Linked DNA regions of Lepisosteus oculatus. The protein of the gene in region 2 interacts with the protein of the main gene of each other region in a pairwise test. Links are inferred from orthologs where the notes say so. Each region holds a gene or a part of one and is shown on either strand. Other genes may lie near its edges.

Region 1 (3,753 bases), on a different chromosome or scaffold from region 2:
GGGGTTTTGAGAACAAAGGTGTGCTTGCCATCATCTGTCCCCAGCTGTGCTTTCAGCTGCAAAAGCTTAGCAACTTCTTCATCAATCTGCATAAGACATCAATGGTTTTAAAATGAAAAGACTAATCTTTATAATATAGTATAGACAAGACCTAACGACACTCATACACTACACAATGATACAAAACACTGGGTATGACATGTGGCAAGACTTGTGATTCTACCAGAGTCTTCTTGGGCTCCAGTATACAACCAGACAGATAGAGAAAACAAGAAAAAAGCACCAAGATAATGTTATCTGTTCTGCCAGGTGACAGGCTGGAGACACATTTATACAGCAGGGCACTTACAGGAGCGATCAGAGGACCCTGATCAAGAGTACCAGCACTGTCCCAGCTGGGATCTCAGCTCTCCGGTCCAGAGTCCAGAACCTTAACTGCTACTGAATGTTTCTGCCTGATAGCTCAAACGCTAAGTTGACACTGAACAATGCAACTTATTAATCTGATTCTAATTCATTTGAATGTTTACTATCAAAATCATATACTGGATGAAATGGTCCTACAATATGTACAGGGCATTGCAAAAGAGTAAAAAGGGTGTCATGAGGTCATCTCTCCAGACAGTTTTTAACCATTGCTTCCAATTCGGGGTAGCAGGGAAGAGAAAGCCTATCTCAGCAGGTAAAAGGGACAAGCCAGAATATACCCTGGACAGGACACAAAGACATGCACACCTAGGGCCAGTACTCCCATAAGCCAATTAATTACCAATATGTTTTTGGACTATGGGAGGAAGCCATTCGACCTAGGGGTAAACCACACAAACACAGGGAGAACATGCAAACTCCACACAGACAGCACCTTGGGTCTGGAACTGAAACCAGGGCCCCAGGGCTGTGGGGCAGCAAAGCTTACCACTGTGCCACCGTGGAGTGCTGTTTCTATAATGTGTATCCCCTCCCCCCCCATCAGCATACCTGTGTGTTAGGGTTGCAGGACACCGCACGCAGAACACGAGGGAACGGACCACACCGGTGAACAAGAGGTCCCGACCAGAGTCGAACAGAAAACGCCCCCAATTTGTTCATGGTCGTCCGGAAATGAGTTGAGGGCCAGAAAAAAAAAATAATCCCCCGCGTTAATTCATCCCAGGCGTTTCCCCCAGGAAAGTGAAAGTGTCGTCCAGGAAAAACAAAAAGAGGTCCGGAATACGGTTTATGCGAGGGCGACGGCCGGGCGCAGAGGGCAGTCGGTGCGGAGGCCCGGGTGGCACGTGCAGGGAGAACAGGAGAAAACTGGTCAGCAACCCTAGCACGCGAGTCCGCAGAATCACCGTGGAGGCAAAACATGGAGGGGGAGCAACAGTCAAAATCAACCGACTCGCACAGGACAGTGGAACACTTCAACAGAACGGTGTGCTTAATGAGGGGTCACTCGGATAACACTGCAATATGCACCCAAACACCAGACCCAGGGCAGAAGCCTTCTATGTAAAACGAGCAGACCGCCAAAGTTTCTTACAATACTAACGGGCTACGACAGTTCAGCCCATAGGCACCCCAGCAGTTACTGCACATACGTAATATTGTCAGGCTCTGCCAAAATAAAGGTAAAATGAACTCCCTCACCGGATCCCACCCGACAAAAAAAATAAAATGTATAGCCTGTATACCCGTGCTTTGAAGCATAAGGAACTCGTTTTTTAATTTATTTATATGCAATGTTAACTTTCAGTTTCTATGTAGGACAAAGCAGCCACGGACCTTACAAGCTGATTGCATCAGCCGGGCAAAAAGGGATGCACTACTGTACCGCAAGGAACTACCCCGCACAAGCCTCGAAAGGTTTCAATTCAGCGACAAATATGAATACATGTCTCTTTATAATGGACGCAGAGCAGTTCTATGTGAGAAGGACTTTGCGGCAATTCTTCTCAAACCAGGCATGAACATTGTTTCTAAAAACACCGTGAGCGCCTTATTTACGGAGATTGCAATGACGCGTATTAGAGCACAATTAGCTATGTGCACGCTGCACCGTTAATTGTGTTTAATTAGACTTTTACGGTCCTACCGTGTGGTTCAAGTACCCAGGCCTTTCATTTTTCTCTCTATTCTATGACAGCGTTGAACCCACCCCTTCCTTTGCTGGCTTCACTAAGCTTAATCAAAATTAATGTTACGAAATGTGGTTTCTATAATAAAATAATAGGTCTGAAGAGCCCATACTGACCTGGTCCTTGCTAGCTTTTTGCTCTTTTAATTTCCTGACAACCTCTCCTTGCTTTTTAATAGCCTCTTGTGTCTGTGCCTTGTCCGCCATGGTGCCTTCCTAAGCCGGTGCCGTGTACTGTATTGCAGTCCGCGCACTGACGCAAACGCGCAGGGAGCACGTCCGCATTGACAGAGCGCTCTTTGCGTTTCCGCCGGCCCGGCTCCTGCATAGTTTAAAATTTGACGCTAGCAACAACCACGGCGAATTTCTTTTCACGTGTTTTGGTGCATTTGCACTTTGCGTTGAGAAAGATACTGCAACGCATTTATCGTGTCACCTTCCTCTATGAGTAATAATACAGGCTGTTTAACGGAGAAAAACTTGTTTTTCCGTCTGCCTGAAGGGTATATAACAAGTAAAATCTGATTTTAACAGCGATGAATATGTGTTGTCATGGAAACGCATGTGAGAAATTATACATTATCATTACTCAGAACTTAAGATGTAATAGATAAGGTTCTGAGGTTTAAACTGACATCGTCAGAGCCAAGTGATTTTCGAACTTAACAGATGTTTCTGCTGTAGATATATTGGGTTGTTTGTATTCACAACTGTAAAGCAATATATGTAGCCTTTTTATTTTAAGATTTGTTTTCTAAGATTTCAATGTATTTTTTATCTTGTTAGGAATTACATTTTATTTATATGCTAATGTGAAAACAGTATATCAGGTTCGGTTTTTGTTCATTTTCTGTGGTAAGACTCATCTGAGAGTATTCGCGAACTGTCAGGTATTACAGATTAGTATATGAAAATAGGCCCTGTGAACTCTTTATATCTCAAGTAAGTTATTAAAACTTTAAAACTAGTTGGCTGTGAAGCAAAAAGATGGGATTGAGTCTGCTAGTAATGGCTTGCTTTTATTTACTCTGAACAGCAGATGGCAATATATTGTGCTATGTGGGCAAAATGGCACATTCTTACATTCTTTAATGGTATTTTTATTCAGGATTACTAAAACACAATTGAGAGCAGCACAGTGACAGAGGTTAATGCTGACCCCTTTCACTTCTTAATTTAGGTTTTCTGTGTGAAGTGTGTACATCTGCCCCCTACTCCCAGTATATATGACAGATTGTCGAAGTGCTCATTTTATCTCATCTTCCAGAGTCATACTGGATAATTGGAATCTGTAAATTGTTTGTGTTCATGTGTTTCCATGTGACAGAAAGGCATTCCACTCAAGATACAATCCTGCTTCATATGATTGCATGGATTAATCATGATTTGTCTTTCCTATACCAATACATGATGTATAAATTTTAAGGATTTCAACATGTGCAAGACTTCGAAGTCTTACTGAGAAACAGATACATTGATATATTAATATAGAACGTAAAAAAATTACAGTTGGTGATTTGTCTTCTCACAGGGCACATGCTAGTGTCCCAGATAAGATGTGCACAGACAATGTAGACACAGCAGAAAACAGGGCAGTGCTGAAGAAAAAGGTAAAGCTTCCAGGCTAATTCTCAACT
Region 2 (3,753 bases):
GTATCCAGAAATGTGCTATATAAAGGTAAAGAATTATTCAGTATTATAAGTATTGAAAAGACCAACAGTCTGTGTAATTCTCAAGTCCTTCCATCAGGTCTGTCAAGGATATGAAAATGGCTTTCCTTAGTTAATAAAACATTCCAGCACTCCATCTCTTCCACCCCAGATGTTTTAAGAACCACAGGACTTGGCTATTACCATTAACATGCTACTGTAAGACAGACAATAAGAGTCATGCTGCTGATGCTCGGGTTATTTATTCCTAGAATTTCTAAAAGTGTATTCAGTGCAGTCTGAAACGTATTGCACAGAGCAATCACCCTCTGCTTTCCATGATGTGGTCTGTCCCTCACACAGCCAGTTTCCTGATTTGTCTGGACTAATATGCTGATATATCTCATTCTCCAGGCAACGTCTCTCACAGATTGGTGGCTTTCAATCATGTACATACTGTAGCAACCAGGACAACTTCATAACTTCCAAGAGGGTTCTGATCACATCTTTCATGGTTTTTACACTGCATAAACTGTTGCTTTTTTGAATGCCTAATTATACAAATGCATAGTAAAGTCACACGAACCACTGAGGATCCAGTGTTTTAATTAAATCAAATGACTTGTGGTCAGTATTTTCGTATCCCAAGGAGCAACATTTCTCAAACAATCAACAAGCCTATCTACTCAACGTTTCAATGAAAAGTGCTTTAAGTGTGGCTCCAATGAGCTCGTGGTGAAAAGTATATGCGTCAGGTCGTATGTAAGATCACTTTATTGGCCATATACAATTTATTGTATTAGGATTGGAAATGAATGGCACAGTTGATACCTAATTGCTTAAATAAGACAGGTAAGGTAAGTGGAGTTTTTGCTTTCAATTTAAGACTATGTTTGAATGCAAGAACCGTTTCATTAAGGCGGTGCGGTTTACAGTCCAACTGAAATATTTTAGCGCTCAATTCAGTCTTTTAGTTAGCACATCAGCGGCATATAGAAAGGAGTTAGACCCTGACGGATCAGTTAATGATATTTAAAAGCATCCCGGACTGTATCGTTATTGTATGCTTGCAGCTCTGCAGTTACCTGTTATCAGAAAATCTTGCTTGTTAAAACAGTGCCCTGCTTTGAAAATACTCGCTCAGAAGGAAAGAATGGGCGGCTGGAAACAATCCGACCGCCCCTTCTCTCTGACCACTCCCGGGAAGCCTCTGATTGACAGTATTTTGCAGATCTGCTATCTGTGCGTTCGCTCTGTTTTGTTGTAGCTTACGGTTCGTGTGGACGCCGTGTATACGGTGCTAAGCATGTCCTCATTACATACATCAAGGTATCACCTCTAGCACTGTGCTGCTTGTACATATTATCCGTATTTCCTGATATCAGCAGGGATTTTTATTTTACATTTTTTATTTTTTTAAGGAAAACGGTCGGGACCTTGCGTTTGCCACAAACTTAGCAGGACACCGCACAGAAAGGATTTTGTCTCCTTTCATTTATCTTTCTTGTTTAATTTCATTAGTGAAATAAACATGGCGAGCGATTCTCCAGCCAGAAGCTTGGATGAAATAGACCTTTCAGCTTTGAGGGTAAGTTTGTATAAGTATTGGATGTTAATTGTCAGTGAATTTTTTGCTATCGAGACGGCGAAGAAAATGGGGCTGATGAGAACGCTTTGCACCTGATCAAGCTCTTGTGAATAATACGCACAGCCAGAGATGACACCAACTTGAACTGATGTAACGGGCGACGATGTCCTCACAATTTATCACAATTGCACCTTTGCTTTTAATGTAGTACGAGCTTGGAGTAAAATGAAACATATTTCTCGCTGAATTAATATTTAAATGCTGCTGAGTACCTTTTATACAATAGGGTTTTCAGGCTGCTGGATTGTACTCGTCCACATAAAGAAACACACACCCCAGAAATGCTGTGCTTGTGTTTTCTCCCTATATAGCCCTATTTGACAGACATTACAAAAAAAAATCAGTCAAGTGCAGTACATTCAAGCGGATCACGGAGAGTTGTGAAAATCCTTTTTAAAACAATTTTCTGAATTCTAGACAGAGTGGACATAGACTAAAAATCCAAAATTCTTATGTAATCCGGGGTTTTTATTTGCTGTAACACTGCAGAACATTTAACAGAAAACCACGGCTAATAAAAGACAAGAAAATCCCACCTTTTTTTATAATGTCACAATTGTGATTTGTGGTGATGTCAAATTATAATGCCTTTACGAAGGGAAAATATAAAATGTTTACCACCCAATAATCGCGGCATGAGATGTAGTTTAGAGCCTCTCAGTTTTACAGCGGATCACCTAATATACCATATTTGTTTGCCAAGCAAACATATACAGTATATCTTCATGTACTGTACGATGTTTTTAGCATTTCACGGTATGGAGCGTTTTTCAGTTTAATACCCAGCTTCATGCTGCCAGCATTAGAGCGAAAATGATAACTGAATATGGCTCGGTTTGTGCACAATGCTAGATGTTTGGTGGCGATTCTTTTGTCTCAATTTTTCTATTAATATACTGTATGGTAACGCTGTGGGCTTTGCTGCTAGCTTCTGTTTTTGCCTATCGCAAGGTGTATTTGTTACCTTATTGTCACCATTTGTGTCAAGTTGAACGTGTCCAACTAAATCCTGTGGAGTGCTCATTTTCAAAATGAGTTATTATGCGATGTAACCTTACCTGCTTTAATGTGGTTTTGATTCGTTAGTGCCTTAAGTTAATTTATGCATAATATCATCATTATAAGCAGTGCTAAAACAGATCATCTTAACAATGTTAATCCTGCAGCATTTCTGTTAATTTAATTTAAGGGCACATAAAGACATGGGACATATCTTTGAGATATATAACATATTGTGGGATATTGCCTCCCATTTTAATTTTTACGAGTTTTTTAATTCTCTGTAAAATGCTGATAGATTCATCCGTATTACCTACAATGCTTACTCACTGAAAACATATTTTTTCCATTTATGATTTAGACGTTTCCCTTAATTTCATGGTTCATAATCAAATACATATATTTAAGATTACCCGGAATGTAGAGTTTCAACAATGTTATGTATTTTGGTATTGGAATGTCTATTAGCAGCTTTGCAGAGATGGACTACATTTTGAATGTTGAGTTCTACTTGAACCATACAGCCTAAAATCCAGGCAACAGAATAGTTATTTATAATAGGCAAATCATTTAGCAGTCACGTGTCCTACATATACACGAATGAAGATGTAATTGACTGTAACTTGCATAAGTGTGTTTTCTGTTATTCAAGAAGGCAGTCCTCCTGTGTGTAGTACTGTATGTAACAATGTATTTCTACACCATGTGAGCTACTGTACATATGTGATACCTCTGCACAAGCAAAAAATTCACTTTTGATTGCTGCAGAATATTTGTTTCACAAAGTCTTCATTTGTAATAGTGCTACAGGTCTGAACTCACTTTGGTATGGGAAATGTAGGAAACCTTTTTTAAAATAAAAACAAAAAACAGGACCAGTGATGTGTGTTGAGTTGTTTAGGATAATTAAGATGCTCTACAGGAGATAATGGCTGGATGCAATAGCTGCCTGTGTGCACTTGTACAAATGTTGTAGATTTTTTTGCTTCTTATCTGTTATAGCTTCACTGCAAATGGCACTCAGTTATTGTCTATTGGCACTGCACCTATACCATGAACAGTATATGTTTTATATTCCCACAGCAATAGGGAGGTGTAACTGGTAGGGT
Region 3 (3,753 bases), on a different chromosome or scaffold from region 2:
ACATCAATTCGCCATGAGCCACCTCCTGCCTGTTGGGGTTGCATCAGCTGCCGAACAACTCCCAAGGATAGCGGAGCGCTGGCGTCGTCACGGAGAAATAAAGGGACTGAACTGGGAAGCGCATAGCAACGGGTTCGCGGTTTACAGCAAGGACACGGCGAAACCGGCGCCCCAAACGCCAAAATCCCTCCCCCCCCCCTAAAAAAAAATCAAATAAAATCTTAAGGAGCGGTGACTTGTCACTTTCAGGGCAAGGCGTCGCAAGTTGGGAGATCCACCCTGCGGTAAAAGCAAGGCAGGCAGGCAGGCAGGCAGGGAGGGAGGGAAGGAAGGGAAAAAAAAATCCAAGCCCTGTTTTTCTGCTTTCCCTCTCGCTGGAACTGCCGCCTCCTTACTCCACCCAGAGCTGACAAGGGGCAGACATCATGAGGGCCGCGCACAGCCGGATCACGCCGATTGCGAACCAGCAAATAACACAACGGAAAGAAAGCAGCCCCCCCCCCCCAAAAAAAAAAATCGGACTGACCGAACCAACCGGCAACTCCCCCCCACCCCCATCTTCTTCTTACTCATTCAGCTTTTGATTTTTTTTTTTCCGGCGATCGCTCTCGTCTCTTGCTCCACCCTGCCCCCCGATGCCGGTGTTGAGCGTGTTGATCATGGCAGACCGGGAGAGAAAAAAGGATCGTCAAAGGTATCTCCACCAAAAAAAAACAACAATCTATCCCCTCCCCCAACAGTGAAAAAGAAGCGATTGTATCCCTCCCCAGACCGACAGACAGAAATCACGTTTTAGCTCCATACCGGTGTCTTAACAGACCGGCTTGTCCCGGCTCCTTTCCTCCAAACCACTTGTGAATCCCTGCCAAACCCAAGGCTTTTTTTCCACCCTCATCTTCAACTGAAGTCATATTACGCGTCCAAAACTGAACTGTTAACGTCACAAGTGTCATTGCAAAATGCAGCAGCACATAATTGAAGATGCCCGTTGGGTTGGTCCGGCGTTGGGTTGCAGTTAAAATAAAAGTGTGCGTCGATAGAAGCCACCAGCCAAAACAATACAGGCATTCAGGCAGCCCGAATTCAGATGAATATTAGGGAAAAAAACGCACCCTTCCGCACACAAATCCTTCAAGCAGCACCCCCAAAATAATTCGAAAGAATACAAAATTCTCCGCGCAGCAGATGGAAATGAAAAGTTACGATTAAAGGACCGAGCAACATGGGCAAAAAGATCATTTCAAGGTCGGAAAAATGTAACCTGTTTTTAAAGCCGGGCGAACGCAGGGCAGATCTTTTAGCTAGGAGGTTACCCGGGACAACGTAACAGGTTTCTATCATTACAAATGGGCAAAACAATTAAGCCTATTTTGTGAGAAACCCATCGCTTGTACTGGTTGGTCTGGGAGAGGTGTAAAAGCAGACAGGATGGCGATTTTCGCTGGACTGTACACATGCCACGCCGGTATTCAAAACACTTTCTAACAGACCTATCATTTCGATCAAAAATAAGCCCTTCGTTCTCTTTTTTTTTTTACTAACCAAACTCTGAACACTACGTGAATTTGTTAACAGCGTTTGAAGGTCTTTGAAAACGCTGCATTCCTTCAACCAGAAGCAAAATGACAACATCAAATCACCTTCCCATCTGAGCCATCTGCAAGGTTACACCAAATCAGAAGATATTTAAACGCCTCCCTTCAGCCCTGCTGATGAAGTTGGGCTAATTCGCAAATCAATTAAGAATGCATCCTCACGAAAGCCACCAGAAAATGACCTACATTTTAAAAAAGACCAACCACAAACTTCTAAATATGTGTCCTCATCGATTGCAAGTTCCCACCCCTCTTACCGAAGCCCTCAAATTCGAATATACTTTCTGCTGTCACAGAATATTTTTTTTAAAAAAGCATAGAAAACCATAAACAGGAGGCACAAACTCACGTCTTTGGTTAAAAGACTCCGTAAAATACCAGTCGAGCTGAAAAAAAACGCAAGTCAGTGGAAGGACAACTTGTAAAAATGACTGTTTTAATGACTGTTATTTTTTTTTTTCATTTTTCTGCCTTTGCTGTTGCTCTAACGGCCTGGCCGCCATTTTGAGACACAGAAAGGAGGCGCAAAAAAATTGCAGCCACATCGTCATTTTTACCACCTTGTTTTCTTAAACACAAAATCAACACCGGAAGTTAAACCGCACAAATCTTACCGTATTGTCTTTCCTCCTTCTCCTTCGCCGGGTCAGGTACTCATAAAGCACAAGATGGGGAGTATTTTTCGGTACAAAGCGAGGGACTTCGGATTTCACTGGCTATGTCTATCTCCTTGTCTCTCCTCCGATCCTTGTTTTCTGTACCGCATTCGCCTTCGGACGCAGGGCACGCGCACGGACTCGCGTTCGCAGTCTGTTTGACGGAGGCGCGCACGCCCCCCCCCCTCCACCTCCTCCCCCGCACTTCAGCAGCGTCGTTCGTTTTTCGCGGGCACGCGCATCGAACGTCCTCTTCCTTGTTCACGCCCGAGCGCGCCCCGACGTCCCTTACGTCATCAAACTGCTGTGCTGTGGGACCGTAGGGTGTAGGATATTGTGCGCATGACTTTCCGGCTGTAGGGGGGGAAAGGGGGGGTTTGAAGACGTCAGGTCTGACAGCGCTAATTGTCATCAATGAATATATCTCTATTACCTATGTACGCATGACCCGTTCAGATCACTTTATCACTGACAAGTAACTTCGATATACTTTCACTGCTGCAGCAGAGAAATGCATCTTCAGCAGCCGGAGGGAACCTCAGCAAGGGTCGCAGTTATTTATACTTTATGTATTTTATTTCTTCCATCATACATGTCTGTTTCTTATTTCTTAATGGGTTCATGTCGTGTTAAATGTATCGTGTTATGTCTTTTAACTGCCTTGGAAAGTAAATTTCCCTTCTGGGTCTTTAAAGCAAGTACCTTCCTTCCAGAAAAATTAAGTTGCTGGTTTAGCTTATGAAGATGAATCAGTCACATTTTAGCAACTGTTATTGTAAAGAGAACCTATCAAATTAATGTCTAATCTTGTGTTCTTCCACTTGCAGAAATGCACCTTCCTTCTGCTTTCTTCCACAGCAAAGCCCCACACATGAAGCAAAGTTTGCATCCCAGGGCTGCTATACAAAGGCACACCTGTACCCGGGCTAGACAGAGAATATTACTTCCAGCGGCGATAATGCAAAGCCATCTTTGTTATTTGGAAGTGGCTTTAATAAGGAATGCCATTGGTCATCGCTTAATGGCGGGAACAGAAGGATTTGTGTAAAAAGACCAACCCCAAAACAGGCTGAACCTGCAATACACAGATTAACGTCTTGTCTACTATCCTGTTGTCTGTAGGATATAGGAAGGATGGGGTTAGGTGCTGAAGACCTATTCAATGAGGTTTGTACAGGGCAAGCTCCCAGCAGCACAAAGCTGTGGCACAGGTGCTATTCAGGTAAGCACTATACTGTGCTACACACAGGTAATCACACACGGATCCATCAGTGATACCATGTGCCACAACTAGCATATCATCCACAGGTATAAAGACAATCCCAAGTCTTCAGTAAAAAAAAAAAATCACAACTCTATTCCTCTTTAATAGTCTTTTTTTAATTTGCTCATTTGAATACAAAAGCATACATGGACAAAGAAAACAAATGAGATCCAGCTAGCCGCAGAGAAGAGGGACACGGTGACCCCTTGGCCCGAGAAGTCAAAGCACGTGCACCAGG

What was found.
Region 1: the proteins of tnika (region 2) and hars interact in a two-hybrid assay, tested with the Homo sapiens proteins (2 studies listed by BioGRID and IntAct). The link is inferred for Lepisosteus oculatus from reciprocal best matches to the Homo sapiens genes TNIK and HARS1.
Region 3: the proteins of tnika (region 2) and pafah1b1a interact in a two-hybrid assay, tested with the Homo sapiens proteins (2 studies listed by BioGRID and IntAct). The link is inferred for Lepisosteus oculatus from reciprocal best matches to the Homo sapiens genes TNIK and PAFAH1B1.

What each region holds. Positions count from the first base shown.
Region 1 is NC_090706.1:32,650,221-32,653,973, reverse strand, and holds the start of hars (histidine--tRNA ligase), read right to left. Parts: upstream 2,234-3,753; intron 1,310-2,233; 5' UTR 1,090-1,309; coding exon 979-1,089; intron 87-978; coding exon 1-86. UniProt on the Homo sapiens protein: Catalyzes the ATP-dependent ligation of histidine to the 3'-end of its cognate tRNA, via the formation of an aminoacyl-adenylate intermediate (His-AMP). Plays a role in axon guidance.
Region 2 is NC_090708.1:14,164,940-14,168,692, reverse strand, and holds the start of tnika (TRAF2 and NCK-interacting protein kinase), read left to right. Parts: upstream 1-1,243; 5' UTR 1,244-1,303; coding exon 1,304-1,326; intron 1,327-1,518; coding exon 1,519-1,585; intron 1,586-3,753. UniProt on the Homo sapiens protein: Serine/threonine kinase that acts as an essential activator of the Wnt signaling pathway. Recruited to promoters of Wnt target genes and required to activate their expression. May act by phosphorylating TCF4/TCF7L2.
Region 3 is NC_090721.1:6,261,594-6,265,346, forward strand, and holds the start of pafah1b1a (lissencephaly-1 homolog A), read right to left. Parts: upstream 2,549-3,753; 5' UTR 2,210-2,548; intron 894-2,209; exon of another isoform or gene 805-893; intron 1-804. UniProt on the Homo sapiens protein: Regulatory subunit (beta subunit) of the cytosolic type I platelet-activating factor (PAF) acetylhydrolase (PAF-AH (I)), an enzyme that catalyzes the hydrolyze of the acetyl group at the sn-2 position of PAF and its analogs and participates in PAF inactivation.